Linked DNA regions of Tamandua tetradactyla. The protein of the gene in region 2 interacts with the protein of the main gene of each other region in a biochemical or structural test. Links are inferred from orthologs where the notes say so. Each region holds a gene or a part of one and is shown on either strand. Other genes may lie near its edges.

Region 1 (10,299 bases), on a different chromosome or scaffold from region 2:
TCTCTGGCTAACCCTTGGCTAATATCTTTTCCGAATAAAGTATATTCCTTTTCTCAGACCATGTGACACTGTAGTATTCAGCCTTACCCACTTTGGATAATAACCCTATATCCTTCTTTTCTTTAAAAAAAAAAAATGAAAATTTATCCTTGATTTTCCTTTACTGTAGTTTAAGAATCAAAACCTCTGCAGTGGAGGTGCAAGGGTGGTTCAGTGGTAGGTTCATGCAGGAGATCTGGGTTCAATTCCCAGCGCATGTACTTCCCCAAAAATAAACAAACAAGCAAAATGAAAAGAAATAAAAAACAAACAAAAATTCAACAAATGGTGCTGCAATAACAGGACACTCACATGGAAAAAGAATGAAATGTGATCCTACCATAACAGCATACAAAAAAAACCCAAAACCTCTGCAGTTTGCATTGAAGGAGGGACAGGGTTAGAGGGATAATTAGTTATTCTCTACCTGGGCTGGGGCCTAGGTACCATATTGTGCAAGTCCTTATGTGTTTATCCAGTTGTTTCCAAAATCCCTACTTTATCCTGAAGCATTTGTCAGCTGAACTCTTCTCACCCCTCTACCCCTCAAAACACTACACACTTCTGGCTGCTAAGTAAAGGAGACATCATATGATTAAATGGGGGAAGTAACTTTGGCAAGGATTATGATATGGACTTCACAAATAAATGTGATCAACTTAGTAATCAGTAGTTCTCCCCCTTGGTTATACATTGGAATCAAATGGGGAGCTTTAAAAGATGCTAATGCATGGGTCCCACCCCAAGAAGTTCTGTTGCATTTGATCAGTACAGCCTGGTTCTCAAGAGTTTTAGTAGCTCCTCGGGTGATTCTGATGTACAGACAAGGTTGAGAACTCAGTGTTCTGCAACAGCACTTCTTAGACTTTAATGTTCATGCAAATCACCTGAAGATCTGTAGGTTTGCTCTGGGTGCCAAGATTCTGTATTTCCTTCCTATGCCTGTGTGCTCAAATGGAGACATGAATAAAGCACTAACAGTGACCAGAGAAAGGAATAACACTCACTGCTTGGGAAGAAAGTGGATTAGGCAAAATAACTGATTTTTCCTTGGCCCTAGCATGGGTTTTGAGTCAGGATAATCTGATCTTTTCACACCAAAATGGATCTTTTCCTTCAGCAAACTGAGTTACTTTCTCCAATGGTCTTACTGTGGGGTAGCTGGTGGCTGGTTAGCTGATGGCTGGGGGTAAGTGGCCGTACTGAGTCAGTCACACAGACACAGACACACAGCACACAACTCAGGAGACAACCCTCAGGGGAAAAAGGAAGGCGTCTGCTTTATTCAGGAAGTGCACAGGCTTATATAAGCTGGGAAGCATGCAGGGACACGTGTCGGGCTGGGATTGGTGGTCGTTGTTGCTAGGCTGGAGGGCAGATTTCTGGGATAGGTCACCGTTGTTGCTAGGGCGAAGGGCAGATTTCAGGTCAGCCATTTCGTGTTGCCTTGCATCAGCCACGGCAGCCATGTTAGCAATATTGTATGGCTTCTCCAACATCTTACCTCTGAAATCCCAATTTTCACCACTCCACATACCATCTAGCACCTCTATCCTTTATCTTACTTTTGTACCCCCCATATATAAATTCTTCAATTACAATGAAATTCCCAATCAATTGTTCCCACCACTTTCACCTATCTACCCCTATTAGCTTCCTAATCACCTTTTGTTGTTGCCTCCCAAAGATTCCATGGTGCATCAAGACAATTACTGCCTTGTAAACACTCTTACTTGCCTTTCTGTGTGATATTCATTCTTGGTAAATCCATTTATCCTTTTTCATGTCTATACTCTCTTGACTGAAGTTTACTTGAGAAAAATCATACCATTATGCTTTAAATTCATGATACAGACTGCAAATAGGCATTCAAACCTGCTGGCAATATTGCAACCTTTCCCTCTTCACATTTTCACTCTCAGAAGATTCTTTAGACCTTCTTCTCACTCCTTCAATCTTTAATACTTTTCTGCCTCACTCTCAGCTGAAAACCTCATCTCATATTTTATTAAGAAAATTGATGTGATCAGGTAGGAACTAACCTTATCCACCTACCCATATATAAACAGCTGCTTGAATCCATCTTCTTTGTCTTTCCATCCTGTTAAAAAGATGGAAATTCAGGGGTTTTTCAGTCCCATCCCACTTCCTTGTGCTTTGGATCTACGATTTCATCCTTCTTTATAACCTAATTTTTGTGGGTATTCCCTTTTTCTCCCACATCAATAATTTCTCTTTCTCTATTAGATCATTCCTACCATCATATAAACATCTATCTGCCAACACAACATTAGTAATAAAAAACCTCCCATGGTCTACATGACCCACTCCACCCACCATCCTATTTCTCTGCTTTTCCTCCCACCCCCAAAATCAGAAACAAAATAGACGAACAGAACCTCAAGAATTGTCTCCACCCATACATCTTTCATTCAATATATTCTAGTCTTTCTGCCTCCCTGCATCTCTGAAAGTGCTCTTGCCAGAGGTTCTAATGATCATCATGTTGCCAAATTCATGTTCCTACTGTGTCCTCATCATACTTGATTTTCTTGCAGCATTTTCTATAGTTAACTACTTCCTTCAAATTGTAATACTTTCTTTCTTGACTCTGACACCACCTCCTTACCTCTCTGGCTGCTGCTTCTCAGTCTCTTTCCCTTTTTTAGAGGTGGGGGTGCATGGTCTGGGAATTGAACCTGGGTCTCCTACATGGAAGGCAAGTATTGTACCACTGAACCAACCATGCACCCCTTCTCAGTCTCTCTTGCTGGCTCTTCCTTCTCTGCTCAACTTTGAAATGTTGGAGGATCTCATGGCCCTGTTCTTTTTCTACAAACTTTGCCTTGATTATCTCATCCAGTCCCAAGGCTTTACGTTTCATTTGTAAGTTGATGGCTAGGAAATTTATATCTCCAGCAAAGACTGTGTTCCAGGCTAATATATACTTTTATCCACTTGACATCATCACGTGGATATAAAACAGACATCTTTGATTTGATTATTTTTAATGCACTCCAGCAAGAGACTTACAAGGAACTCTTCTATGATTGGACAAGTTAGATTTATTACTCATTTCAGTAAGTGAGAACGCACACCATAAGGATTTGGGTTTGTATTAGGTGATGAATGCATAGTGAATGTGAGATGAAAGTGGAGAATTAGGCAGCAGTCAAACCATGCAGGACTTTTAAAGCCATTCAAGCAAAAGGGACTTTGCTCTGAATTGAAAGCTGTTAAGAAGCAGGGGTAATTCATAGTTGGGCATTTTAGTAAGTATTATCTAGAAAGAGGAGAAAATTGGACTGAAGCTAAAACTGCAATCTGTAAAGAAGCCACAGTCATTCCTATTAGTCAGAATAAGGAGATGTTTGACATTTTCGTGTCTTTGAAAAATGTTCTTGTTTTGTCTGTATTCAAACATGATTATGGTATTCTATTATCAGATTATTAATCTCAGATTATTATCTTATTTTTGTCTTAATCCACCATGGTTACAGAGTGGCCTTGTCTGATGTTGAATCTGTAAAACTCTTCATTTTCAATAGAACACTGTGTTGGTTTGAAGTTGTTATGTGCTCCAGAAAAACAGGGTCTTAAATTTAATCCATTCTTTTGGGTGTCAACCCATTGCAAGTAGAATATTCTGATGGAAGCACTTCAGTTAAAGTGTGTCCCACCTCAACCAGGATGGGTCTTAATCCTATCACTGGCATCCTTTATAAGAGAATGAAATTCATACAGAGAAAGTCACAGAGGAAGCAGTCAGAAGCTGAAATCAATGGAACCTGGAAGAGAACGGAGAGGCCATGTGTCTTGCCATGTGACAAATGAGGAACAGGTTGCAGCAGTCAGCACCAGAATGCCAGTCTTCCACACCTTAACGATGCCTTGATTTGGACTTTTTTTTAGTCCCCAAACCTATAAGTTAATGAATTCCCATTGTTTAGGTCAACCCCTTTCATGGTATTTGCTTGAGCAGCCTAAGTAATTAAAACAAACACTGAGTCCTACTTGTGATTACCAGGCCAGCTAGTAGCAACAACAGGCTGAGCTGACAGTACCAGGTCAGCATCTTTATATCATGAATTGCTTTTCTCTGTCTCAGTAGACATAATAGTGCTCTTGATTTAGATTCCACCCCTTCACCCCACCATAAACTGTTACTTTTACAGCCTTCCCTTTTATGTGACACCACCATCCACACATATGCTCAACCTAAAAACCTAGGATTCACCCTTGGCACTGTCCTTTTCCTCATCCCCCCAGCCAATCAATCACCAAATCCACTGTTTTTCCTTCATTTCTGCTACTAGCATCCTGGTCCAAAACCACCACTCTCCCTCTCTCAAGCATGCTGTAGCCTCAGAACTCGTATTGTTTTCTCTGCTTCCACTCCTTCCTCTTTACAATCCATTCTTCTCACAATAGACACATAAGATCACTTTTCTCCCTTCCTTTAAATCTCTCAAATGCTTACCATTGCATTTAGAATAAAAACCAAACTTCCTACCTTGGCTTAAAAGTTCCACGTGATCTGACCCCCGCCTAATTCTCCGCTCTCATCTCAGATATGTTCCCCCACATTCCCTATGCTTCATTCACTCTGGCTTTTTCCCCCCTCAAACATACCAAGCTCATTCCTACCCCTTTCATACCTCTGCTCTTGCTCTATCTTTTGCCTAGTAGCGTTTAACCTGGTGGTTACTTCTCATCACCAGTCTCTTCTCTTGGTGGTATTTCCTGACCTCACCTAAGGTGGCTCCACCCCAGTCTCTATCACATTCCTCCATTTTATTTCCTTTGGAGGACTAATCACCATCTGAAAGAATGTTTCATATTTATTCATTTGCTTATTGTCACCACCTAACTGCAATTTAGCTTCATAAAAGGGTGGCATTTGTCTGTCTGGTTCACTATAACTCCAGCCCCTAGAAACCTCCCCGTTTCACAGCCAAGCGTTAAATAACATAAATGAGTGACTGAATGAATGCCACGGTTACCATTTCTATAAATACAGCCCCCAAACAATCAGCAATTGACATGTTTTGTTTGTTTTATAAGAGAAGCGGGGGACTCTGAAAAGGAAGTAAAAACATGGAATCAAGAAAGTGCCTGTCTTTCATCCAGTCTGCTCAATGTCATGGACGGCCAGAGTGCGGAAGTGTATGTCAGGACTGCAGGCCCTGAGGCTTTCCTTTCTCTGAATTACCTTCTTTCCTGAAAACAATGTTGAAGCCATAGCCTTATGATAGACTTACCCTATATTTTAGTAATGGTTATTCGGGTTTATTTCTATAACCACCCTTTTGGCGACCTATTAGCCAGCCACGACCTCTGGAAAGAAAGCCAACTCTCTTGCGCAGGCGCCCAGCGGCGGATTACAAGGCGCCTAGAGATTTATACTGCGCATGAGCACTAGAAGCAGCGAGGCGGGAAGTGCTGCGCAGGCGCATTTGGCAGACTCGCTAGATTGGGAGCTTTGGAGCGGGCGACTGAGGTATCTGGGCAGCCACAGAAGAAGTCGTATTCCCTTCAACCGTGAGTTTCCGACGGCTTGTTCTGTGGCGCGTGATTGTGAGGGATTAGAAATGATTCGTGACTCCGGGCTTGTCGTAGTGCAGTTCCCCCCCACCCCCCGCTCATATCCCCGCCGACCTGCGGCGGGAAAGTCGCGCGCCTGCGCACTGGGCGTCCCCCTCAATCTCTGGTTTGAGGAAAGAACGTCTTTTCCCGGCGGAGCTCGCGACCTGGCACTTCCGGGAGGATCTCCATTCATTCTCCCTTCTTTTCCTGCGCCTCGTGCTCGCGACCCGTATCGATTCTCTATTAGCTCGCGTGGGTCTCGGACGAGCCTCCCGCCTCTCCCCTTCAGTAGCCAAATGACTTCCTCCTTCAGTCCCCGTCCTCAGATCAAACCGCACGGCGTCCCCCTTTACACACACACAAACATACACACCAGCAGGCTGGTACCTGGGAGCTGCACCAGCCGCTTCCATCCCCATCTCCCCCTACGCACACACACCCTACCCCACCCCCTCCAGCTGCTACTGAGCCTCCCCCGACTAGGAAACTATCCCTTCAGCCTCTTGCCAAAATTTCCTAAAGGTGAAGGTAAAGCGAACAGAATCCTTAGAAGTGGCCCCCAATTCTCTTTCCTTTAGGAATTTGGACATATAATGCATTAAAAAAAAATGTTTGTTTACCCCATTGGGGGCAGTGGGTTTTTTTAGTACCTGGTTAAGTGAGTCTCATCTTCTCCAGTATTCTAATTTTTACAGCTCCTTTGCTTCCCCTGTGGACATAATCCCTTAGCTGGCATTTTGCATCCTAGTTGTTTTGTGATGGAAGCGACTTTGGGGATTCACGTGGATGAGCCAACGGCTTTTTCTCCCCTGCGTGGCCGGTTTCAGGTTGAAGGCTCCTTAAAAAAAAATGAGCAGAATTTTAAACTTGCAGGTATGTGTTCAATTCCAAAGATGTACTTACATGCAACAGTTCTCCATTTTAATTTTTTTAATAACTTCTCGAATCTTAAAGTAAGTTGTATGTTTGTATAGGAGCATTTTACACATCAGTAAAGCTTCATAAGCTGTAGATTTAGGACTGTCATTTTTACAGATGAAATGGCAAAGGTGAAATGTTGTGACTGCCTGAGAACCTGTAAGTTGTGTCAAAGCATGAATCTCCTCCTAGACCTTTGTTCTTATCACTACTCACCATATTGCATTTAGAAATTGACACTGGAGGGATCTTCACTAAAGTAGTCAAAGGCAGAATTGAATTAAGTGGCACAAATAAATGAATTCTGTACACCGCATCTCAGTGTACATCATGAAGTGTTCTTTGGCCTTATTCAAACCTTGAAGTGAGGAGGAAAGGGTGGATCCATATGGATCTTGTAGGCTAAAATGGTACCTGCATTCCTGCTCTAGCACAGTGCCTGGGACTTGGTGATGTTCAATAAATATTTGTTAAATGAGAAGAGTTCCAGTTGACTTTATTTGTGTTCCTAATAGATGATAAAAACTTTTCTATCTTTGTTTTAAGTGAATCTAGTGCTTGTCCAAATGCTAGTAATTTTGACCATTTGTCCATGCTAGATATGTATTTTACACATTACAAAATAGACTTTATCTCACCCTAGAAAGATAGGACATCGCATACTTTGGCTTTCTGGCTAAAACTAAACTCATCCTTGGTCTCAAAATGAATACCCTTTCTGATCTCCTTATTTTAAAGCCACTATTATACCAGTTACCTATGCTTAAAACTTTAGAATTGTCTTGGATTTATGCTTTGTATTTGTTCCCCATATCCAGTCGCCCACCTTTATCTCACTTATTTTTAAAATGTGTAGCATTGCCTTTCCTTTCCCACTGGCACCATATTAATTCATTCCCTTATGATTTTGCCTCTGAATTATAATGATGTTTCCAAACTGCTTTCACTTCTTTCCACTCTCCAGTTCACCTTATACACTGGTACCAGAATAATTGTATGCTACTTTCATTCAATTTCATGGACACTGTCACTCCCCCCACCCACCTTTTTTTGGCCATTACTCGAGCTTTCCCATATTAGTCATTTGACAATTCATCAAGTACTGCCTCGAATTATTATTCTTGTATTGTTTAGCATTGTATTTTATCTGTGCAGTTTTTATTTAAGCTCCTTGAAGACAGTGTCTCCCAAAGCTTCTAATGCATTGTGCATTATAAATCTGACTTGAGTCTATCTAGCAATATTTCAAGAGAATGCTACCATTCTAATAGTCTACTGAGAATCTTCTGGGAAATAAAGAGTGGGGCAAATTTTATGCCAAATATCATAGGTTATTTGGCCTTTATGTAAAGGAAGATTGGACATTATAGTGACTTTGATCATTTATAAACATGCAGAAATATGATTCATATTCTTTTTTATATGACCCTTAATAAAAGCTAAGGTTATATCAAAAACATAAGTCAGTGATAGGTTCAGTAAGGAGTAAAACTGATGAGGTCCAAGCACATCACTATCTCATGATCTAATTTGATTTGCTTTCCCTTGATGGACTAACTCTTGGAAGGTAGAACTTGTTTTATGTATCTTTGTATTCCCAGGACCTAACAGTGTCTAGCACATAGTAGAAGCTTGAAAATATTTGAACTAATGATTTAGTATAAGGATGTAGAGTAAAATACCTAGTGTAATGGATGGGTGACATTACCCTTTTTTTGGGATATTTGTCAGACTTTTGTAGTTTTTTTTCCTGATAAAAATTCCCACATGCTTTTGAAGAAAATTTAGAAAGTATAAATAACCAAAATAAGAAAATATTATATCTAATTTCATCATCCAAATATTGCCTCTGTAGACAGTTTTTTATATTCATTTAGTCTTCCTATACATACATTTAGAGTTACATTTTTTAAAAACTAAATTGGGATCATAGTTTATCCTTTCTAACCACCAGTTTTGTTTAATAAAGTTAAGTCAAGTTTCTTCTTGATAATTTTGGCCAATACTAGAAGGCTTGCTTTCATTGTGTTATATGGATGCCCTTATGCCATGCTTCTAAAATAGTTTATAGGAAGAGTGAACTTCCATCCTGGTTTGCCAGGGACAGGTCCGGTTTATACCTGTTGTCACTAATAATTATTCATGTCAATTAATTATTAGTAGTACCCCCTTTCACTCTCAGGAGTGTCCCAGTTTGGACTAAATTGCATGATTCCTTAGTTGTAGAAGGTATAAGTCAGACAGTATACAAACCCCCAGAACAAATGTAACATGTTCTTGGTGTGCTCATTTTACTCCATGGTAAGTAAATGAAAATATTTCACTCAATTCGATGAGTACTTACTAAACGTGTTGTTATGTGGATATACTTTTCTAGGTGCTAGGGATAAATCACTGTATATAACACACAAAAATCCATGCCCTCAATTTAGTGGAAAGAGATAGATGGTAAACAAGAGACATAATTCAAAAGTGATTACTACAAGGAAGAAATTTAGAAGGAAAGGGGAAATTGAAAGCACTGGGGGAGAAGATTGTGATTTTAATCAGGGTAGTTAGAGAATGTTTCAGGTGAGGTGACACTTGAAAATGCTGAAGAAATGAGCTATGCAGATATCTAAGGAAGAGCATTCCAGACAGAGGGAACAGCAAATGCAAAGGCCCTGAGATGGGAGTGGACCTAGCATTTAGGAATAACCGGAAGGTCACTGTGGCTGGAAGGAAGAAAGTGATCTCACCTTAGGGAAATAACACGTTGCATACTTTTATGATGACATCAAAGAGGTATGCAGAGGGGGGTTCTTTGGCTTTTGCATGGACTGAAATGGGAAAACATTAAAGGAATTTGAGTAAAGTATGACCGATAACATAGTTTTTACAGGATCAGTCGGGCTGCTGTGTTGAAAAAGACTATAGGTAGGCAAGTACATTAGCAGGGAGAACGGTTAGGAGGCTGGTGTTATGTTAAAACCAACTTGAGTATATTATGTAGCAGAAGACAATTCACATAAAATTTCAAAATAGAAACCTAGACTCTCATGTGTAAAACATGGTCATTTAAATAAACTTTTAGCTTGTGATGGACTTTTCAGGACCTTCCCTTAAATCCTCAAATGATATACTTATTCACCTCACTTGTAGTAGTACTTTTCAGTTATTGACATGAATTTTCTTTTCTGTTGTTCTCTCTCATTTCCTGCTACAGGATTTGAGGATATTGCATTCACTTTGGTCAGCAGGGAGATTTACTGTTTTTTTTAGAAATGTCGAAGTTCTGCTGTCATAGGAAACCTTAGTATAAATACATCTGGTATTTTGTAAAGATGGGTGAGTAGGTAGGTAGTTAGTAGTGGTTGCTGAAAGTACATTAAGTGTACAGTCATTCACATGGCTTATGCATTATGATATTTTCATATTGCTTACATCTTTCTGGTTATTTCTAATAACTAACCAACATCTATGTTTCTAACTGCCATCTTGTACTTATTAGGCAAAGTGAAATGCTGAAGTATGGAACTCATAGGAAAATCACAGACTATTGTACTCTGAAGGGTGTTTTGTAAAGTTCATCTAAACTAACCCTCTTGTTTTACAGGTGAGGAAATTGAGGACTAGTGTGATTAATGGTGACAGGAGTTGAATCCAGATCTTTAGATTCTAGGCATACTTCTATATCAGCAGTGTCCAATGGAATTTTCTGTGATAATGGAAATGTTTCTAGCTCTGCACTATCACATATGGCTAGTGTAACTAAAG
Region 2 (10,795 bases):
ATGTTTGTTGCTATTAATCATGAAAAAACAAAAAAGAAAGTAATTTATATTTTGCATGATTTAAGTATAAAACCTAAGGCAAAAGAGAGTTCAAATAGTCAAGAGACTACTCAGGAGGTTACTCTTAGGCAAGCGTCAGCTAGATATGGTATTTACCAGTTTGCCAAACCTCAACCAAAACCATTCCGGTTAACCCTAAAGAACACCTAAGGCTCTATCTGAGATTGTACTAAAGTTTCACATACTAAGATTACTTTCCAGAAACCTACAATTCCATGAGTTCTTAGGCTAAATAAGACCTGAAACCCAGAAGGGTTAGCCTCTCCAAGAACATCAATTAGTTCTATCCCCCTGTTCCATATTATCAACATCCCTTTCCAAAACGAAAAAGTTAGAATGGGCAGAGCCCAAGCACCCCTAAAGATTGAGAGAAGTATCAAAGGACAAGGAGGAGTTATAACAGAGAAGATAGGATTTAATAAATGAGTATGACTGCTGAATCATTACATTGACATTTCTTTTAGTCTCCAGTGTCTTGGTGCAGCTGGAAGGAAAACCTAAAATTGTGGAATTGTAACCCAGACCAAACTCAGAAATATGTTCTATAACTACTTGTTACACTGTACTTTGAAATTTATTGTTTTGTATATGTTATATTTCACAATAAAAAATGTTTTAAAAATTAAAAACAAAACAAAAAAATCCTAAGCCAAAAGAATTTACAGATGAGAAAACTGAGGACGAAAGGGGTAAAAATTATTTTGTGTGACATTAAACTACCAGCTAATGGCAGAATTAGGACTCCAACCTCCTAATTAAATGATGCCTATATTACTTAGTAAACTTTTCTTCCAAAGGGTTTCTTACTTGTGTCTGGTAGGCAGATCTTGGAAGGCAACATAAAAATCCTTGGCAGGAGGGATCTCTTTACGGTCTTTAACGAAGGTTTTCAAAGCCCGACAGAGATAAGGGTAAACTCTGAAAAATAAACAAAACAACAACTCATATCTTAGGCCTATAAAGGCCTCCTTCTCTTTCAGTGCTTGCTAACAGCTGAGACCAAGGAATATCATCTGGTTACAAGCAAGCCTTAGAAACTACCTAAGCAGAACACTTACCCGGTTTAGGAGCCTCTTTATTCATCTCTTACCCCACCACAAATGCATCTATTTCACAACAGAAACATCAAAGACAAAATGCTGTATCTGAGTACATATGATCTGTAAATATCATTTAGTACCCACACTGTAGACCAATCCTGTCCAAGATGACTCTAGCTAAACTAAACAATCACTTCTTTCAGTACTATACTCAATACTACGAGTTTTCTATGGGCTCTATCTACATCTAGCAAGGTATTCTCCAATTTGGTATCAAGGCTTACTATTTTTTTTTATGCTTCATTCTTGACTGATAAGAAATGAAGACAGAGAAACTGTATAGCAATCTGAGAGGAAATTGACAGAAATGTTGTTTGTTAACACTGAAGTGTGCATATTCTCTTAACAGATGTAAGTTATTTAATCCAAGATGCAGACAAAGATTTATATACAAGGATGTTTCCTGCAGAATATAATAAACACTAAAAGCCTAATTATTAAATATGTCTAATGATGGTATTTCTGTCAAAAAGTGTTATCTAACCATTAAAATGGTCACAAGGAATTTTACATGACATGGAAAATAATACAATGTTAAGTAAAAAAGGCAGGGTGATATGTCTATAACATAGTCTCATATTACTTTTTTTTTAATTACAGACACATAAATAAGGTATCCAGAGATGCTCAGGAAACTCTACTTCCAGACCTCGAAGATTTTTGGAACTCTGTTGCAGCAGACCTGCTCATGATGATTATCTAAGGTGGTTGGATTACAAATGTACAGATGATTGTCCCCTCTACTATTCTTTATTTTCTACAATATACACCTCATTTTTATTTAAAACAAATTTAAAGTTTAAGGGAATGGGAGGTACAGTAATGACACTGCTACAAAGATAGCCCTGATGTAAGAAGGACCCACACAAACACATACTGTTCTTTTTCAAAATACCTACTAGGGTGAGGATGTGTGTGGAGTGGGGTAGGAGGCAGGATCAAAGGAATGACAGCAACAGTACTAAATGTCTGACACAAAGTAAGCAATCCTCTTAAAACCTGGGAAAACTACATAGAAAGAAAAGGTTTTCAATTTATGTGAAAAAAACATTCAGCTCCACAAAGGCCAAGATGAAGTCCAGAATAGTTCTAAAATGACCACAGATAATACCAAAAGGACCCCCCTTTCTGAGGAGGCAAGTAACTGACAGCTGCTTCCTTGCCGCACAAGTGAATACTTCCAGACCAGGAAGAGCTGGCTTCCCAGAACTTCACCTCTATTCAAAGTAAAGGAGATTAATACACCCATACCTATAGAACTCCTCCTGTATGGTGGTGGAAAGTTGCTGGTTAAATTGCTCCAGGTCCACAAAACTCACAATCAATGTGTTTCTCTCAGGACGAATCAGCTCCTCTGCTAACTGCAAGTACTTTATTTCTCCATCGCTGCTCTGGAACCTGCAGATATATACACATCAGATTAAATTAAGGAAAAGGGGAGCAGTAGAAAGAATCTGAATGCTGATAGTTCAGTGTATTGCTTAAATATCATCCAGCTTTAGACTCAGAAGTTATTTATTCCTCTAAACCTGCTTCCTTTAAATAAGAAAATGTTCATTTTTTAACAGATAAGGAAAGATCACCCATTTCATGAGACAGCTGCTAAGATTAAATGAGAGAATGCCTATAAACATAGGAAAATTAGGTCTTTGGGTTTTAACATAAATTTCTTGACTGGAATGTGTTATTCTATAATTATTAACTATTACTAATAAAATGTTCAATCAGGATATCCACGTAAAAGCCCAAAGGCCTAAATTTCCTGGGGAATTTGAAAACTAATATAAAATCAGAATAAAAACAAAGTGTTTCACTGTCTAAGACCTCAGAGAAATTGAAATACACATACATGCACACAAAAGAGCTGGTGAAATTTTTTTCAAGAGTTGCCTACTTTTTTTTAACATAATATGCAGATTAATTATGATAGAATTCCATCTTCAAATATAGGATGTTCTAACTCTCTTAAATATTTATTGAACATGTTGCCAGAGGCACCTGAAGCTGAAAATGAGTGCTATTTCTGCCCTAGAGTTTACACTCAAGACAGATATATAAACAACTGAGAAAGGGAAGAAAGTCTTCTTACTAAAGAGAGGTACAAAAAATGCAGTTAGTATAAACTAAGTCTGCCTAAAAGAAAGGCTTTCTACATATCTAAAAGTGTCACTGGAATTCAGGCTTGGAAGATGATAAAAATTCCAAAGAAAAACAGGGGTCCTGGATAGACTCTCTATGCTTGCAATTATTTTGCAATGTCGGAGATGATATGGGAGGAATTTGAATGACAACTGGAGCTGACTGTGGGAAATAAAACCGGAAGGGGCACTATGAAGAATTTGGACTTTATTCTATGGTGATGGGGAATCAAAGTTGGCTTTTCAAGAGGGAGGCAAACATTTTTTCTCAACAAAGTACAAGGACTATTTGTCTTGTTCATTGCCATCCCCAGTACTTAACAGTAAAGTGAAGGAACCTAAACTATTCGCTGAAACAAAATATTTATTGAGGACATTTATGATGTGTTGGGTAGGTGGTGCTGAGGATGGGATTCACACTCAAAATGAGCGGCTGACAGGTAAATAAAAGTAGCCACATTACCAGAAACATACAGGAAATGGTAACCCTGGGAACATTAGGGAAAAAGGTATGAATGGTGCCTGGGTCATGAGGGCTTCACAAAGGAGATACAGGGTTGAGCGAGTAGCTGTCAGGCAGAGAATAACAGTGCTAAAAGTATGGATATATAAATCTTAAGTTTAAGTATGTCAGAATTTCAATATTCCGAAGTCCTGGAGGCAGGTCAGTCGAGACTCTTAGGGAGAGTAGTGATGTATCTTTACTATGCAAGAAAGCGAACAATGGGAAAAAAATCAGGGGAATGGGGTTATGGGAAACCAGAAACCTGGAAGAGTGGGAGGGGTGAAGGAAGGAAATCAGGCAGAAGGATGGGTGTGTTCAGCTGCCTTTCAGCAGGGCGGAGCTCACCCCCCCATCGAGCATGTGTCAAACTTGGTCACAGCAGAGAGATACACTTTCGCTCTGGTACTTTCATCTCCAGTGGTGGCCAGGAATCCCGGTGGCCCCACCAGTCTTCTGGCTGGCTGTTCAATCAGAGTTCTGCCAGGACCCAAATGCCACTTCTGCCTTTCACTCGACCAGGCCGAGTCGTGTGGCCTGTTTGGTTAACCTCATCGAAGCTCAGTTTTTGCATCCGTTAACAAGGGGCTAAACTACTACCGGCCTTCGAGGGTTGTAGCGATAATTAAACCATATAAGGCAAATGCTTAGCGCAGGACATGCAGATCAACAAGTTTGAATAAACACTCAAAATTATTTTTCTTTTAAACCAGCCCTGTCCTCTTGAGGACCTGGCTCGGAGCTTAAAACCGGGCAGAGGGCGCTCCTCCAGGGCGCGCGATTCCTCAGCCCCCGAGGCGCGCGCCCCGCCCGAGCCCGGAGCGGAGAGGGCCGCGAGGGGAAGTTACTTCAGGGAGGGCGCCCCCGGGGCTGGCGGCCGGGGAAGACCCAGGCCTGCCGACTTACTCTTCCAAGAAGTCCAGGAACAGTTTCTGGCACTTCTCAGCCACCTCGTCGCGGACTTCCAGGTGCTGGGAGCCAGCGCCCGGCTCTGCGGCCGCGGCGAGGTCCATGGCTGCCTAGCACTTTGGAGCTGCCGCCAACACTAACACACTTCGCGACGAGCTACCTCTCCCCAGGCGCATTCGCTTTGCGCGCGCTGGCGCAGCTTTCTCCCCGCCCCCTTGCCGGACCGGGACGGCGGGAGCCAATCGTGGCGCAGGAGCTCTGAAATTTCGCGCCAAGCCTGTCCAATGAGAGGTAAGTTCTCCTGCTGTCCCGCCCACTAAGCGGGGATTTCGCGCCAAATGCAAATACCTTCTGGAGAAAGCGGTGGGGGGTGGGTGGCTTTGTCTTTGCGCCTGCGCAATGTGTCTGCAATGTGTCTGCGTCCTTGCGGTGTTCGGCTTCTTGAGCTGGTTAAAAGCTGGGATCTTTGTCTGGGTGGCTGGTCAGATGTTCCTCAGATCATTCTATTGATATTAATTGAGCAGTAGAAATAAAACTCTGTGGGAGAGAACTATAAGTAAGATTCAAAGCCCTACTTGAGCTATCTGCTTGGAGGAAATAAGCTGTAAACCGCCGGATAAAAGCCTGTAGAAGAAAAAAAATAGTGAAAACAGAAACTAGCAGAGCTGAGCTGTGCAACAGTGAGCAATGGCGGGCAGTTACTTAGATTAATGCTGACTGGGGAATATGAGCTAAGTATTTGACACCGTTGGTTGATCCCTTTCTTAAAACGAACTGTTATTTTGTGCGCTCGTGGGTTTGCCCTATGTGGCCGTCTTTCTCCGACTCTTTGATTTCCCTTGGGTTTTCTATCTCTTCAGCTGTTCCCCGTTACCTCTTTTGCAGGCTCCTCTTCTTTAGCGAATCCCGCGAAAATTCTTTGAAGAAGCACTGTTGGCTTCTTTACGCTGATGATTTACAAATGTGTATCCGCAGCCGCCACTTTTTCCTGGGCCTCCAAGAGATTAAGAGAAATCTGGACCACTTCCGTATTTTGACGCTTTCATTATATTAGAAAGATTTTTAAATGCCAGATAGAGGGATGACAGTTATAGAAATTGTTGTTTTCTAAATCTTGGATGTTTTATTTCTGCTTTTTTTCAATAAGTAGAATAATAAGCGTGGATTAAGTCAGTGTACTTATTTACCCCAGGTCCCCTCCCCACTCTTTTTAAAATTTAGTAATTGTTTTAACACACATACACAAATATACTCTTCTCAAGATATTTACAGTTTTTAGCAAAAAAAAGCTACTTGTTGTGCACTGTAGTTTATCTGTGATTGTGTGTATTACCTCATTGCAAGGTGATGGGAGCTTGAGGCCCTGTATCTCTCAGCCTTTACCAGCTCCAGACTGTATATCCACCTACTTAATGGACATCCTCACCTGTATGTTTTGTAGGAACCTCAAACTCAACTGCTTCTTAGATATTCACAATCTCAGTGCCCCAAAATATGTCCACAAGGTATCCAGGAGCAATTTCATAACCAGATTCTGCCTCATCCTCAAAAGGCCTCACTTTTTTCTTTCCCATTTTTCCTTTCCTCTCTTCCTCGTCTATCCTTGGTAGATTTCTGAGAACTCAGATCCCATGTACAGAAGGAAAAGACCAAACATGAGAGAGCAGACAGAGTTCCAGGCTGACCTTAACAGCTAAGCTCTCTGAGAAACTCAGATAAAGCCTTTTGCTTCAAGATAAGCCTCCATTGCCTCACAAGAATTGAAGCTGTAGCTCCCTCTCTGGGACTTGGTCACACCCCCAGAACCTCTTCCCTAGAAGGTAATGTCATTCCTTTTCTCAGGGTTTGCCGTATGCCTCATATATATATATATATATATATTGTTGTCTGCTTGAGCTTACCATGCCACTGTCTTTGGGTGGTTCTGATAACAGTTTCCACTGCCAGCAGCATGTGAGGAAACATCAGAGGTCATCTGGATTTACCTCATGAAGAGTTGGAATTGCTAGTGGGAACTGAGTGGGAGGTGGAGGTAGGGGAGGAGGGAAGAAGACCCTTGGAAAAATTTTGTGGCTGGAGAACACAGGCCTCCTAAGTATCTTAAGTCTGTCCACTTCTCTTCATCCCCATTATTAATCATTTTATTTAGGCTACCATCCATTTTCATGCATATTCCTAGGAATTCAGTTACCTCTCTAGTCTGTTTACTTAGACTTATTCCCAGCTCAATCCACTCTCCACTCTGCAGCCAAACTAAACTTTCTGAAATATAAATTGGGGCCTTCTGATTAATATGACAGATTGAAGAGGTCTTTTTCTGTTTCCTTTGCAATCCTAAAATGACAGTAAATGAATAAAATCGAGTATCGATAGAGAGAGGAATAGAAGACAACAATAGACAGAGAGCAATCAAATTTTAGAGGACAGAAAGGGAAAGCATGGATGATAACTGTCCAAGCAAAGCTGAGAAAGCTGAAACCTGTGTCTTCAGAAGGCAGTCTTTGAGAAGGACCAGATAGCCAGGGTAACAGTCAACCAGTATGCACTTGTACAGCTTGTGCCAATTTGAAAGGATATATGTACCCTAGAAAAATCATGTTTTATCCTAATCCCATTTTGTAAAGGCAGCTGTTTCTTCTAATCCCTATTCAGTACTGTATGTTTGAAACTGTAATTAGATCAACTCCCTGGAATGTTTGACTCAATTAAGAGTGATTGTTAAGATGGATTAGGTGGAAACATGTCTCCACCCATTTGGGTGGGTATTAATTAGTTTACTAGAATCCTATAAAAGAGGAAACATTTTGGAGAATGTGAGAGATTCTGAGAGAGCAGAACGACAGAGCCATGAGAAGCAGAATGCCCACCAGCCAGCAACCTTTGGAGATAAAGAAGGAAAATGCTTCCTGGGGAGCTCCATGAAATAGGAAGCCAGGAGAGAAAGCTAGCAGATAATGCCATGTTCGCCACATGCCTTTCCAGATGAGAGAGAAACCCTAACCATGTTCGCCACATGCCCTTTCAGTCAAGAGAGAAACTCTGTGTTCACCATGTGTCTTTCTACTTGAGAGAGAAACCGTGAACTTCATTGGCCTTCTTGAATCAAGGTATCTTTCCCTGGATGCCTTAGATTGGACGTTTCTATAAACTTGTTTTAATTGGGGCATTTTCTTGGCCTTAGAACTGTAAGCTAGCAACTTATTAAATTCCCCTTTTTAAAAGCTATTCCATTTCTGGTATATTGCAATCCGGCAGCTAGCAAACTAGAATACAGCTGTACATATTAAAATGCAATATTGAAATAGTTTCTTACTATTTGGTAAATCGCTACTGTCCTGAGCCTCCTCCAGCCCCACCCACCATGCAACTCTGCCACCCACCAATCCAGTTACTCTCCAGGCTCCCTCCACCCCAAGATCTCACAATTCAGGGAGTAAGGGAGCAATGCCTGCCTGGACGCTGCATCAGTTCAATGGCCTGCATCCATACTGATCGTTGATACTTTATCATACCAGTTGATAAATATTTTTACATTTGAAATCTAATTTGTTGGGTATTAGTATAGCTACTCCTGCTCTTTTTTGATTGTTATTTGCATGAAATATCTTTTCCTAAACTTTCACTTTCAACCTAGGTTTATCCTTGGGTCTAAGATTTATTTCCTGTAGACAGCATATAGATGAGTCCTGTTTTTTAATCCATTCTGCCAGTCTATGTCTTTTGATTGGGGAATTCAATCCATTACCATTTAGTGTTATTGCTGTACAGGTAGTACGTTCTTCTACCATTTTGCCTTTTGGATTTTATATGTCATATCTAATTTTCCTTCTTTTTACCTTTACTTATAGTCTTCCTTTTTACACTCTTCTCCACACCTCTCTCTTCTGTCTTTTCGTATCTGTCTCTAGTGCTCCCTTTGGTATTTCTTGCAGAGCTGGTCTCTTGGTCACAAATTCTTCCAGTGATTTTTTGTCTGAAAATGTTTTAATTTCTCCCTCCTTTTTGAAGGGCAGTTTTGTTGGGTATAGAATTCTTGGTTGGCAGTTTTTCTCTTTTAGTAATTTAAATATATCATCCCACTGTCTTCTCACCTCCATGGTTTCTGCTGAGAAATCTACGCATAGTCTTATTGGGTTTCCCTTTTATGTGATGGATTGCTTTTCTCTTGTTGCTTTCAAGAGCCTCTCTTTCTCTTTGACCTCTGACATTCTGATTAGTAAGTGTCTTGGAGTACGTCTATATGGCTCTATTCTGTTTGGGGTACGCTGTACTTCTTGGATCTATAATTTTAAGTCTTTCATAAGAGTTGGGAAATTTTCAGTGATAATTTCCTTCATTAGTTTTTCACCTCCTTTTCCCTTCTCTTCTCCTTCTGGGACACCCACAACACGTATATTTGTGCACCTCATATTGTCATTCAATTCCCTGAGTCCCTGCTCATATTTTTCCACTTTTTTCCTATAGTTTCTGTTTCGTGTCAGATTTCAGATGTTCCATCCTCCAGTTCACTAATCCTCTCAAAACCTACCATTGTAGATTTTGTTTTTTTCATCTCTTCTCCTGTGCCTTTCATTACCATTTAGCCATTCCGTGATTTATTTTTTTGGACTTTCGATTTCTTCTTTTTGTTCATTCCTTGCCTTCTTTATATCCTCCCTCAATTCATTGATTTGGTTTTTGATGAGGTTTTCCATGTCTGTTCGTATATTCTGAATTAATTGTTTCAGCTCCTGTATGTCATTTGAATTGTTGGTTTGTTCCTTTTACTGGGCCATATCTTCAATTTTCCTGGTGTGATTTGTTATTTTTTGCTGGTGTATAGACATTTAATTACCTTAACTAGTTTATTCTGGAGATTGCTTTCACTTCCTTTACCTAGGGTTTTCTTGCTGAATGAATTTGTTGTCTCTCTGTTCTTTGACATTCAGTTCAGCTTATTCTGGACCTCTGGCTTAGGTTTTGTTTAACAGAGGAGATTTTTCAGTTCTTATTTTCCTGTTTCTTGCCCTGCTTGTGTGGTGCCTTTTTCCCCCCACCCTTAGGAGGGTCTGCTTATGTATTATAGACCCCAGCCGGATTTTCCCAAGCCAAACTGGCCTCCTAGCAGGAGGAAAGAGTTACCTGCATCAGTCTCCCTGAGGGTGAGACCCAGCAGGTTGAAAGAATTTCCTGTGAAGTCTCTGGACTCTGTTTTTCTTATCCTGCCCAGTATGTGGCACTTGTCTGCCTGCGGGTCCCACCAGCATAAGATAATGCTGTACCTTTAACTTTGGCAGAATCTCCCTGCTGGAGGCATGATGGAGACAGAGGAGAGGTTGTAGGCTGGTTTTAATGGCTTCAAATTACCAAGCCCTGGTGTCTGAGTTCCTTAAGGGAGGGATTCCACCTGAGTTGGGCTTCACTCCTCCCCTGGGGAAGGCACAGGTTCCAGACAAGCCCTCAAATGATCTTGTTTCTGCCTATGCCTGGGGCAGTTGCAGCCTGAGAAGTCCTGCTGCTAAATCCAAAGGTAGTCAAGCCTTTGTAGAAACACAGTCACAAAAACCTCTGTTTCCTTTTTTTTTCTTTTTCCATCAGCCCTGCCCCCTTGGCGCTGGGGCAAAAATGAGCGACTTCTGCTTTGACCAGGTTCACCTGAGTTGGGGGCCTATTTTTAGTAGTCAGAATTTGTTAATTAATTCCACTATTGGTATTTGGTTGGGCTCAGCCCCTGATGCTGTTAAAGTCTCTTTCCTTTTCCCTCTGGGAAATAGCCTGTGGGGGAGAGGCACCGGCCACCATGGGCTTGGGGAACTCACGATTCTGAGGAGACTCGCAGCTGGTCCACTGGTCCAGACTCAGATACGCTGTGTGTCTGGTCACTGACGTGGCCCCAGGAGCTGTTCTGTACTGTTTCTGGTTATTTAGTAGTTGTTCTGGAGGACGAACTAAAACGTGCACTTTGCTAAGATGCCATCTTCTCTAAAATCGATAAATATATGTATCTCTGCACTGCACGGAACCTAGAAAGGCTCAGGAATTGTGGGGCATCATGTGCCAGCGAAAGCCTGATAAAAGGAGGGTCTGAAATCAAGATTCTTATTGCA
Region 3 (11,474 bases), on a different chromosome or scaffold from region 2:
TAAAGAAAACATGGGGAAGAACTAAAAGAAATCAGGAAAAAAAAATACATGTACAAAAGGAGGAACTCTGAACAGAGGCAGAAATTTTTAAAAGGAACCAAACAAAACTTCTGCAGCTGAAAATCAAAATAACTGACATTAAAATTCACTAGAGTGTTATTGGGAATTGAATAATGTCTGTCACAAAAAGGTCTGAACTCTTTGCCCAGGGGCTGTGAACCCATTTGTAAACAGGACTTTTGAAAAAGTTATAAATTAAGGTGTGTCCAAACTGAATGAAGGTGGGTCTTAATCCAATATGGCCTAAGTCCTCGGAAAAGCAAAGGAAATTGGACAGGGAAAGCGAAAGCTACTTGAGAAGCAAAAAGCTGGAAATCAACAGAACCTGGGAAAAAGGAAAAGAAATTGCCACAGGGTGGAAGAGCCAAGGACCCAAGGTTCACTGGCAACTACTCCGGAATGTGAAAATCTCCAGGAAGAAAGGATTGTCTTGCCAATGCCTCAATTATGGACTTCCCCTAACCTCAAAAACATGACCAAATAAACTACCAATGTTTACTCCAACCCACTGTATGATGTTTGTTTTAGCAGCTAGGAAACTAAGACAAGTATTTTAACAGAAGACATGAACATCTGGAAGAAAGAATCAGTGACCCTGAAGACAGAACAAGTGCAAAAATTCAGGCTGAGGAGCAGAAAGGAAAAAGAATGTAGAAAAGTGAGCACAGGCTGAAAACATGCAGAACATCATCAAGCATACTGATGAAGGGCACTGTGGGAATCCCAAAAAGAGAAAAAAAAAAGGGTGAAAATATTTGAAGAAATAATGACTGAAAACTTTCCATATTTAGTGAAAGATATGAATATACACATAAAACAAAATAACTACAAGTAAGATAGATTCAAAGTACCCCACCAAGGCAGATTATAATTAAAATGCTGAATACCAAAGACAGAATATCACAAAGCAGCAAGAAAGAAGTGATCATCACATAGAAGATCCTCAATAAAATTACTAAATTCTTGAGGAAGCCATGGAAGTTAGATGGCAATGGATGAAATTTTTAAAGTGATTAAAAAAAAAAAAAAACTGTCAACCAAGAATTGTTTCAAAAATGGGGAAAAGAAGATTGAGATGCTCCAGAGCCAGGTATCCTACAGAAGCTCTGAAAAAAAGAATAGCAAGAACTGGCAGAAACATCTTTCTCAAAGCTTCAGCGAAACCTCCTTGTGGCACCTTTGTTGCCCACTCTCCCATTTCTACACCAGTTCAGTATTGAGCCTGCCTATCTTGCCAGTGTGGATCCTTGGTCCTGAAAACTTCCAAATTTAAAGAAAGACTTGAATTTATACATACAAAAAGCTCAATGAATATCAGAGAGTATGCACCCAAATACACACACCTAGACAAATAATATCCAAAGCATCAAATGACAAAGATAAGGAGAGAATCTTTTGATTAGATGGAGATGTGACTCCACCTATTAAAGGTGGGTCATGATGAGTTTACTAGATTCCTTTAAACATTTTGGAGAAACCTCAGATGCAGATGCTTGAGAACTGTTGCTTCAGAGCTGACAGACACAGATATTTGGAGATGCTAAGAGTGCCTCCAGAGAAAGCAAATGTCTAGACACGGGCATTTGCCAATGCAGAGCCCAGGAGACGTAGCCATGTGCCTTTCCACAAGATGCCAAACAAGACAAAACCCAGAGTTGTGTCCAATATACCAGAAATGGAACAGTGGAACAGTTTTTAACAAGGGAATTTATTAAGTTGCAAGTTCACAGTTTTAACACCACAAAAATGTCCAAACTAAGGCATCCAGAGAAAAATATCTTGACTCAAGAAAGGCCAATGGGCCCAGAACACTTCTGTCAACTGGGTAGGCATGTGGCTGGAGTCTGCAGGTGTCTTCGGTTTCTGGATTCAAATAGTTTCCCCAGGGGCATTTTATTTCTGCATCTCCAATTGTCTGGCTCTGAAGCAATTGTTCTCCAAGCATCTCTGTGTGGGCACTCCAAGTACCTAAGCTTACTCCAAAATGTTTCCCTTTTTAAAGGACTCCAATAAACTAATTAAGACCCACCTCAAATGGGCGTAGTCACATCTCCATCTAATCAAAAAGTCACACCCACAATTGAGTATATCACATTTCCACAGATGTAATCTAATCAAAAGCTTACTCCTACAACTGGGTGGGTCAATCTCCATGGAGCAACCCAATCAAAGGTTTCCACCCTAAACTCTAGGTCTGGCCCCAAAAGATTGGATCAAGATTAAAACATGGCTTTTCTGGGGTACATAATAGTTTTAAATATGTACCAACATGACAAATCTAAAACTATTATGTTATACAAAATTCAGACCCAAAAGGTATATTTTACAAGATTCTATTTTATATGAAGCTGAAATACAGGCAAAAGTAATCCATGATAATACAAATCAGAAGAGTGGTTGCCTTTGATGGGATAAGTAAGAGTGACCGGGAAGAGGAATGAAGTAAACTTCTGGGATGACAAAAACTTTCTATATCTTGATTGGGGTGACAGTTACATGGATGTACATATTTGCCAGAAATCATCAATCTGTATGCTTAAAGTGAATGCAGATGATCTCATGTGAATTATACCTCAATTATGAATATTGGAAATTTTTTTAAAAAGAAAGCATAACTATTGCATGCTGATACTTCTAAGTGTCTTATAGTAAAGCAATTTCATTGGATATGGGACATTGTAAGTGCTCGATAAATATGGAAGAAAAGACAGAAGGAGAGTAGGTAGGTAGACTGTTTTACAGTCATGATCAAATGTGTGCTCAATACTACCTTAAAGGAATTTATAATCTAGTTCAGGCCATAAGATATAGCCTCTGGACCAGTTTATTATCCTTAACAGCTCCTATACCTGCCATAGCAGCTTCTGTATTATGTTTTCTCAAGAGGATCTACTCCCAAATTCTGGCTCCTTTTGTTTTGCATATTCTCCATTTTGACCCTTCACTTAGGCTGTGTTAAGACTTCATATTCCGAATTGATTTTACCTGGTTTCCCAACTCAGTGTCACCTGAAATATGAACTTCTATGTCATAGGCACTACTCAGTCCTAACCATTCATATGCTTAGCCTACAAAACTAGGAACTCAACCTCAGAAAAAACCCAGGATGTCCAAATGACCAAAAGAGTAAATAACAATACATCTTGGAAGATAATATATCAGTAGTTGGCAAATGAATCCAACAGGAGCAGGAAATAAAGGAAAAATCTATGCTATGCTTGTAATGGATAAGGAAGAGGAACAATTGCCAGCTAGGTGGAGAGACTTAAGCAAAAAAAAAAAAAAAAAAAAGGACAACAGGAAAATAAGAATATTTCAGAAGAATAAGTAAATCAGTTTTTTGAGACTCTAGAACAAAATATATATATTTGGCTATGAGGTAGATAGATGGAAAAAGTAGACTGGGATTCATTTGATAACCACAATGGAAGACTGAGCAGCTATTATCTTCACTTACAGATGAAACTCTAGCATAGAAAGGGTAGTATTTATCAAAGGTCATCAAACTAGTAACCGACACAGTCATTACCGAAAGAAATTCCTTTCTCGTGATTCAGAGCCAAATGCACATTTAATTAGACCATGATTCTGCTCAATATTCTCCAATTTTGCTTAACAGGACTCTTAAACCAAATTTACTACAAATAACACTATTCCCATTCATTTATTTCTTCCTGAAGGCATATCCATCATCTGAAAGACTCTCTCTATATCACATTCCCAAGATGTATTTTAACATAAACCTTATTCTCTTACTAAGAGATTTAATAATTGATATGACAGGTAAGGAGGTTTCTATCCTTATTGGCCAAATTCTTTTTTCCTGTGACTACTAAAAGATTTGGATTTTGTTGGGGACTGAATTATTTCCCCCCACAAAAGGCAGTTCACGTCCCAACCCCTGGTTCCGTGCGTATGAACCCATCTGTAAATAGGATGTTCAAAGATGTTATTAGTTATTAGCACAAGCTGAATGAGGGTAAGCCTTCAACAATATAGCTGAAGTCCTTAAATAAAATGAAATATAAGGAAATGGGAGCAGTCAGAAGCCAGTAGTCATTGGAACCTAGGAGAGAAAAGAGAACATGCCTCCATGCTTTATATGCACTGCCAAGTAACGGAAAACCACAGAACCCCACGTATTGCTGGCCAGCCAGAAGATAACTGTGGGAGGAAGCAAGCCTTCTCAGTCTCTGAGACCATGTGCCAATAAATCCCTATTGTGAAGCCAACAAATTGCATGGTATTTGTTTTAGCAGCTTGGAAACTAAGTCACTTCTCAGCGATAGTTTTCAAAATTAACCTTGGGCTACAGGTTACAAAATTAACACTATGCAGCAAAGCAGACTTTCTCCTTATTCATATATCAATATTATCACCACAGTGCAGTCAAGGATATGTGTAAAGCATAGGATACAACTAAGTTACTCTCCTTCCAGTTATGGTATAAAAGCTAGGTAGTCTGATACTGCTTAAACCTCCTAAAGGCTCAATCTTCCCTTTCTATCATTATACTTACCTAACACAGATAAAGTTTTGGGAAAGAGTGTAGTCTACCCATCTTCACAGCACACAGATTATTATCTAGCACTCACTTTCACCAGGTACTGAAATTATCATTATAGAAACCAGTGACAACCAATGGCAATAAACACCAAAATCAAAGGCCTATTTGTCAAGTCTTAAGCTTTTGGAGCTCTCTTGCGGAGGACAGAAGTGGTGCAGGGTTCACCAGTACGACAGCACTTAGCTCTGATTCATTCTGTGCCAAGCAATGCAATAATAAAATTTTCTAAAATATTTCATTTAGTCCTCGCACAACAGTTCTGAGGATTATTACCCCTTTTTGCAGATTAAAATTGAGGTTCAAAAGCTTACCTGATTTCAAAGTTTGCAATTCTCTCGGTTTTTGAAGCTAAATTTTGTTACCAGTTTTCTTCAAAACTCTTTGGTCTTTATTTCTGTCACTATTTCATCACCACCTGCCACCCATCATGGCTGTTTCTATTGCACATGCTCTCCTGGGCAATTTCATTTCCTCCCAAAGCTTTAACTACATTTTCTATTAGTGTTTTTCACTTTTTAAAGCTTTGGTAAACAAAAATCTTATATTCTTTTTGTAACACATTTTGAAAGAGTTTTTTCCCCCAAATCAAATTTATAATATTGAATATGTTGGTTGGTTAAAACTACACCTCCTCCCCACTTTCAAGATCTCATAACCTTACACATCACCCCATGAAGGAGAATCAGGGACTGGTGTATATGATGGCTCATATGAGCCCTTCCTCTCTCTGGCTCTCTCTCAGACCTCTCCTCTGAGTTACAGGTAAATACTTCCAATGGTCTAAAAAACATAGTTTCAAGACTGTCTCCCCAGGCCCTTCATCATTAACCCTGTCCAACACAAAATACTTATTTCCGTTAGCAAACCTGATTATGTTAGCTGACAGTATCACAGTCCATCCTGCAAGCTTCAATGTACCGTCTATATGTTAAAAATTGACACTGGTGCTTACTAATTTCCCTAATCTGTCAGGTCAAACATTAGCCTAAAACAGTAAGTGCTTATTATGTCCAAGAGTTGTTAATGAATACTAAGTGGCACAAGAAAAAACAACCCTCTTCCTCCTTAGAAATCTTACAAACAGAAAGATAACCCCCAAAATATATGTGAAGCATTTTCCCATTTACAAAGCACTCTCTCACAAATATTTTAATTTTAATTTAATCATTGCCATAATCTCATTGCTATCTTCACTTTACGGATGAGTAGACTTACAGTTAAAGTAACTTGGTAATTTAATCAAACTCTCATGAGCTGATAAATGGTCGGTTCAGACCCAATCGCTGGACTTGAGATTTTAAATTCCACCCCTTTTTTAAATTGATGAAATGAACTTACATAAGGAATGAAAACAAAAACCTGTGTACAAGAGAGGTCAAAAGAGATGTGCCAAAGGGCACACAGCGACCTGAACTCGCTCTGGGGTGGCGCTCCCATTAGGGCAGGAGCCCTCCAGGCGCCTCCTTCTTTCCGACGCCGCCCGGGACCCTCTCACCCCGGAAGCCTCCCTGCGGCCCGTCCCCAACCCGCTGGGTCAGCTGCGGCCGCGGGGAGACCACGCTCTGCGATTCCGGACGCACTGGGCCAGGGGTTACGGCTGCCTGGCCATGGCTACCGCCACGGCCCCGCAGCCAAAAGCTAAATCAGAGGTCGGCCCCAGCCGCCGCGCCACCAACCTCCGAGATACGAATCTTGGGAAATTAGCGTACCAGGTGGAAGAGGTGACTGAAGGGCAGGAGGTCCCGGCAACCCTAAAGGGTGGGCTGAGCCGGCCTCCGGCAGTAGCTGCATCCACTAGGTTCAGTCAACTCGCAAACACCAAGACTATAGAAGGGTGTGCAGGGATCAGAAGCGGACGGAGAACTAGGGTCTGAGGCAGAGAGGGCATCGCAATACCGGAGGGGTGTGAGCGGAGATGTGACCCGTGGGGGCGGGGCACGAGGCGCCAGGAGGAGGCTCGTGGGGGGCGGGGCGAGCTGCGTGAGGAGGTGGCTCGTGGGGGCGGGGCGAGCGCGCGGCGAAGCCCAGCGTGCGGCGGGAGAGAGGGCGGGACGCGCGTAAGAGCGTCGCCGCGGCCGTGTGACGCGTTTTCAAATCTTCAACCGCCGTGGCCCACTCGCTTGCTCTTTGCCCCTTCCTCCTCCGCACTTTGGATCCGGATACTGCCCCGGAAGCCCGGCCCGCCGACGCAGCCTTTCTGCTGTGTGGGGACCGCGGCACACGGAAGAGAAGAGGCAGCTGGCTTGTTAGCAGACCCGGGGGAGCTGTGCTTTCGCGGCCGCCCGGCGCGACACCCTCTCCAGACCCAGTATGTAGGTGCCGGGCGGCTGCCATGAACTCCGGAGCCATGAGGATTCATAGCAAAGGACATTTTCAGGGTACGAAGCCCCTCCTCCGACCGCAGTCCCTTTAATTCTCTCTTCCTTTGATGGCTCCACCATCGATTCCTCAGAGTTCTCCCGCCCAGTCCTCTGCTTCTTTTCATTTCTGGCTTGTGCGTCCATCTCTTCTCCGTGGAAACGGGGCCTGAAGGAAGGTTCCGTTGAGGGTTCTAGTTCAGAAGGGAACTTGTTCGCGGCCCCAATTTCCTAGTTGTGCGGATGGCTGTAAAACTAGGAAACAATGTACGGGCGGAACTCGCCAGGGCTGCGTGCTGCCCCCTCCCCCCGTAGCTTCCACAGAAGCTCAACCCCATTGAAGCTGAAAGCTCGAAGGCTGATGTGCTTGTAGTTTTTTGCTTCGTGATTAGGTTGGGTGATTGTGGGTAGATTTTAGATCCTATTAAGTTTATTTTGTTTCATTCACTAAGTCGAGGGAAAGTGTGAATTTTAAACACGTCGTTCCTGTTTCCAGCGTTATGGACAAACAGGAAAACAAATTTCCATTTCTCCGTCACTTATTTGATAAAATATTCAAACCTGTAAGTTTTAATTTTTAGTATCTATGGAAACCTCCCATTTACAGACAGATTATATCCTAAAGGTTAACTTCTAAGAATTACTTGGATCTCAGATCAGTTTTCAATGGAAAGTCTGAAAAAATGATTTGGTTCTTTCAAGTGGCCCTTAATGGTTCTTAATATATAGAAAATCAGTATGTATGTGAAACAAAAACTTGAACAGTTCTGAATCCTTGAGTACTAGGACATTCGGGGTTACAAAATTCTTGCATAGTTAAGAGTTTAACATTTTAAGCACCAATTTAAAGTATTCATCAGAATAGAAGATGTTCAGTAAGTATTTGTTCAGTGAGTACCCTCATGGAGTTTACATTCTAAGAAAGAAAACTTACATAAAGATTTTGTATAGATCTGTTCCTTGATAAACAAAATATAGTGAACATTTCTTCCTGACTCAAGACTTCTTTCAGTAATTAATAATTATTTTATAGTGTGACATCTGTTAAAAGCATATTGGTCTTTTGCCTTTATCCTAAGTTATACTACTAGGAAATACATGCAAATGGCTGCTAAATTGGTAAAATTAAAAGAATTTTCTCCTCAATGCCGTGATTATCATACAATGAAATGTTTTTAAAACTGCAGAAATTTTCTCCTTACGTGAAACAAGATCTAATTTTGAACATTTTTAATAACAGGTGGAATCCAAGTCAAAAATGAAAAAAACAGACCCTCTTTGAAGGCTCTGAAAACTGATAACAACAAACCAGAAAAATCCAAATATAAGCCACTTTGGGGAAAAGTATTTTACCTGGACTTACCTTCTGTTACAATATCTGAAAAACTGCAAAAAGACATTAAAGATCTTGGAGGGGTAAGTCAAAACTATACACAGACAAAAAAGCAAAAACTCATAACTAATACTCACTAATGTAATCATTTTAAACTTTCGCTTTGGAAAAGTTATAACCAAGTGTTAACATCAAGCCTAAAATTTCTCTTTGGTAGCCTGGCAAAATTTTCAGATCTCTGTAATTTATAGTCTAGTGTCAAGTTTCCAAAGTGTGAGAAATCAGACTCCCTTGTCCTAGTTGCAACACTGGTTACCTTCTCATTATGATGTTGGAGTGTCCTCCACTTAGCAGGAACTGCTTGATGGCATTTATTGTAGAGCTGTTTACATTTGTCTGGACCAGTATAATGTTAAGGATATTGGTAATTCAGAACAACAAAGTCCAATTCAAACCACAAAGAGTTAAAATTGTATTTGAGTGAAATAGTCTCAACAGGAATGAATGTCATCAGTGCAACAGAATTTTGGATTAAGAATCTGAAAAGCCTACTTCTTTTTTCACTTGATTAATGTTTAGGAAATTAGAAAACTGTCCAAAATTCTAAGATTTTCTTAGAATTATGGTTAATATTGGATGAATTTTTGTGAGTTTATTCAGATTCTATTAGTTTATTTCCTAATTCTTTTTGTTTAAAAAGTTAGATTCTCTTTAACTTTGAGTATCTCAAGGTAAACATCTTTGAATAAATGAAACTTGAAGAATTGGCAAGAAATTTCCTGGAATTGTGTTGAGGGGTATTTTCTTTTCCTATCTTGGAAAAGTTATTGTAGTTACTATTTTACTATTTATTTTGTTAAACTATTTTCACATGTATCATTGTAGTAACACAAATCATAATGGCAATATGACATTTGTAAAGGTTGTTTTATAAGCCTGCCACCTTTACTGACTGTGCCGCATACCAAGAGTGTCTTAACGTGTTAAAGATCTTAGAAAATTTGTAGAACTCCCTATATTTTAGAAATGAAGTATGTTGGGTCTAGAGAAGTTAAGGAACTGACTCAATCAAAACATGATTCACCTCTCATTTCTCAGACTTATATACAACTCCACCATTCTATTCCACCAGCATTTAGTGGATGTAAAGTAGCTATTTGATGTAATTTTACAGCTTTCTGAAAAATCACCATTAACCCTTGTGATCTAAATCATTGACTTTTAGATTTGTGCTTTTAGCAGTGGAACCCTTCAAACAAAATTGTATTTAGAAGTCCAGTGTATAAAACCGCAAAAAGGAAACTATTCCAGCTAAAGCAGCAGTGCAAAGGCTAGAACTACCTGTGCCCCCTCTTTTTCTCTCCTCCAGTCTTTAGAGCAGTTCCTGAGGCACTTCTGAAAAAAAAAATTTTGGAATTATTTCTCTCCCAGATAACAATTGAGGGACCTTTTTGTTTTTACTTTTCAAATCTTTTGAAGTTAGAGCATGGTAAGAGTGTCAGTTTCCAAATTTTCCCCCAAAGCTATGGATTTCAACTGAGTTTAATTTATTATTGTTTATTCCTTAATTTCTCTTTTTTTAAAAAGTTTTTATCCAATTCCCATCTCTCCCCACACACACACTATCTTGACGAGTCCTGAGTTCTGCCTCTAGTACACTATGATTTCTATCACTAAAGAAAGACCTTGTCATGAAGAGCTATATGAACTATAAAGGAACTTTGATCTCTAGGCACTAATTTAACAGTATTAGGATTCAACTTTAAGAAATACAAATTTAGTTAGATATTCCTTGAAACGATTATGCTTTTGTATTTAAATATTGCTGAGGATTACTTAGACACTTTATCCTTTTTATAATTTATCTTCAGATAATTACTGGTGTTGTCTTTTTATTTAATTGGACATTTTTTTATATTAATTTAGTTCCTCTAATCTTAATGAAAACATCTTAATACCTATTTATCTGAAGAGTGCACTCTGAGAAACCCAGTCTTTGAGAACACAGCAGTGAATTCTGACCTCATGGGCAAATGTCTTTGAAAGTGGCTAGGAAAGTCGTTACAAAAATCTATAATGACATGGAACCAACCATATTTAGGTCCATATCCAAATAGTTTTGGTTAACATAGGCATTTAAAGAATAAAGATGTAAGGGCAGATACCGTGCCATATCATGAACTTAAGAAGAGAGTTAAATATTTTATGTTTCATCATCATGACCTTGAGTCATCAGAAAATAAGTTTTTAATTACTCCTTAAAGGGCATACATTTAAGAATATGCTACTAGACTGAAGATCGTGGTAAAACTAATTTTTTTGTTAGTTTTCAAAGCAAATGTTTGAATATTATATGCAGGGTACTGTATTAAGTGTTTGGATGGATTCAAAAATGAGTCCAATGTCTGGCTTGCCCTCAATTTCTAATCTAGTTGGAGATGGTATGGATATAATTCATTGTAATACAACATAGAATGTTAGCAAGAGGGTCTTGCAATTATAGGGGACATTTTGCAGACGCAATTTGAAGTGGGCTTTAAAGAATGGGGAATATTTGAGCATGTGGAAATTCATTCATCAACTAATTTTCCACCATTGTCTCTCATATTCCCACACTGTTTTTAAGATTCCGTGGATGCATAAGTAAGATGCAGTCTAATCTTCTAGGAATTCTAGTCTAATGGGAACGTCAGACATTTGAATCATTTACACTATAACATTGTCAGTGCTTTAACAGAAATATGTGTAAATTGTTATTAGAACAGAGATGGGATGATTAAACTCTGCATTTAGGAGTGATAATGGGAATAATGTTTGACCTGAGCCTTGAGGCCTGACAATATACTGGAATGAGCATATTTAATATGTAAATATGTAGTTGTTTGTTTGGGGAATTGTTAGCAGTGTAATGACAAGCTTAAGATTTAGGTGGGGGAGTGGAAGAAATAATATTATACTGGGGCCAGATTGTTAAGGGCATTTTATTCACAGCTAAGGAGTTTTAATCTGATCTGGGAGAGATGGGAAATGAAATTTTCAGGTATAGAGGTGGAGAATAAGGGAGGTGTGATATTTCTAGGTCAATTCACCAAAAGGTCAGAGTGTCTTATTTACCCTTTTACCATAAATGTATAATGAATGAATTTTCAGTGTGATG

The links. The genes of interacting proteins can lie anywhere in the genome.
Region 1: of the proteins of MCM6 (region 2) and CDC7, one has a biochemical effect on the other in vitro, tested with the Homo sapiens proteins (2 studies listed by BioGRID). The link is inferred for Tamandua tetradactyla from reciprocal best matches to the Homo sapiens genes MCM6 and CDC7.
Region 3: of the proteins of MCM6 (region 2) and DBF4, one has a biochemical effect on the other in vitro, tested with the Homo sapiens proteins (2 studies listed by BioGRID). The link is inferred for Tamandua tetradactyla from reciprocal best matches to the Homo sapiens genes MCM6 and DBF4.

What each region holds. Positions count from the first base shown.
Region 1 is NC_135337.1:32,879,752-32,890,050, reverse strand, and holds the start of CDC7 (cell division cycle 7-related protein kinase), read left to right. Parts: upstream 1-5,469; 5' UTR 5,470-5,580; intron 5,581-6,320; 5' UTR 6,321-6,383; coding exon 6,384-6,498; intron 6,499-10,299. UniProt on the Homo sapiens protein: Kinase involved in initiation of DNA replication. Phosphorylates critical substrates that regulate the G1/S phase transition and initiation of DNA replication, such as MCM proteins and CLASPIN.
Region 2 is NC_135329.1:105,538,219-105,549,013, forward strand, and holds the start of MCM6 (DNA replication licensing factor MCM6), read right to left. Parts: upstream 4,895-10,795; 5' UTR 4,814-4,894; coding exon 4,707-4,813; intron 2,559-4,706; coding exon 2,412-2,558; intron 979-2,411; coding exon 868-978; intron 1-867. UniProt on the Homo sapiens protein: Acts as a component of the MCM2-7 complex (MCM complex) which is the replicative helicase essential for 'once per cell cycle' DNA replication initiation and elongation in eukaryotic cells.
Region 3 is NC_135327.1:129,015,421-129,026,894, reverse strand, and holds the start of DBF4 (protein DBF4 homolog A), read left to right. Parts: upstream 1-6,644; 5' UTR 6,645-6,959; coding exon 6,960-7,005; intron 7,006-8,224; coding exon 8,225-8,400; intron 8,401-11,474. UniProt on the Homo sapiens protein: Regulatory subunit for CDC7 which activates its kinase activity thereby playing a central role in DNA replication and cell proliferation. Required for progression of S phase.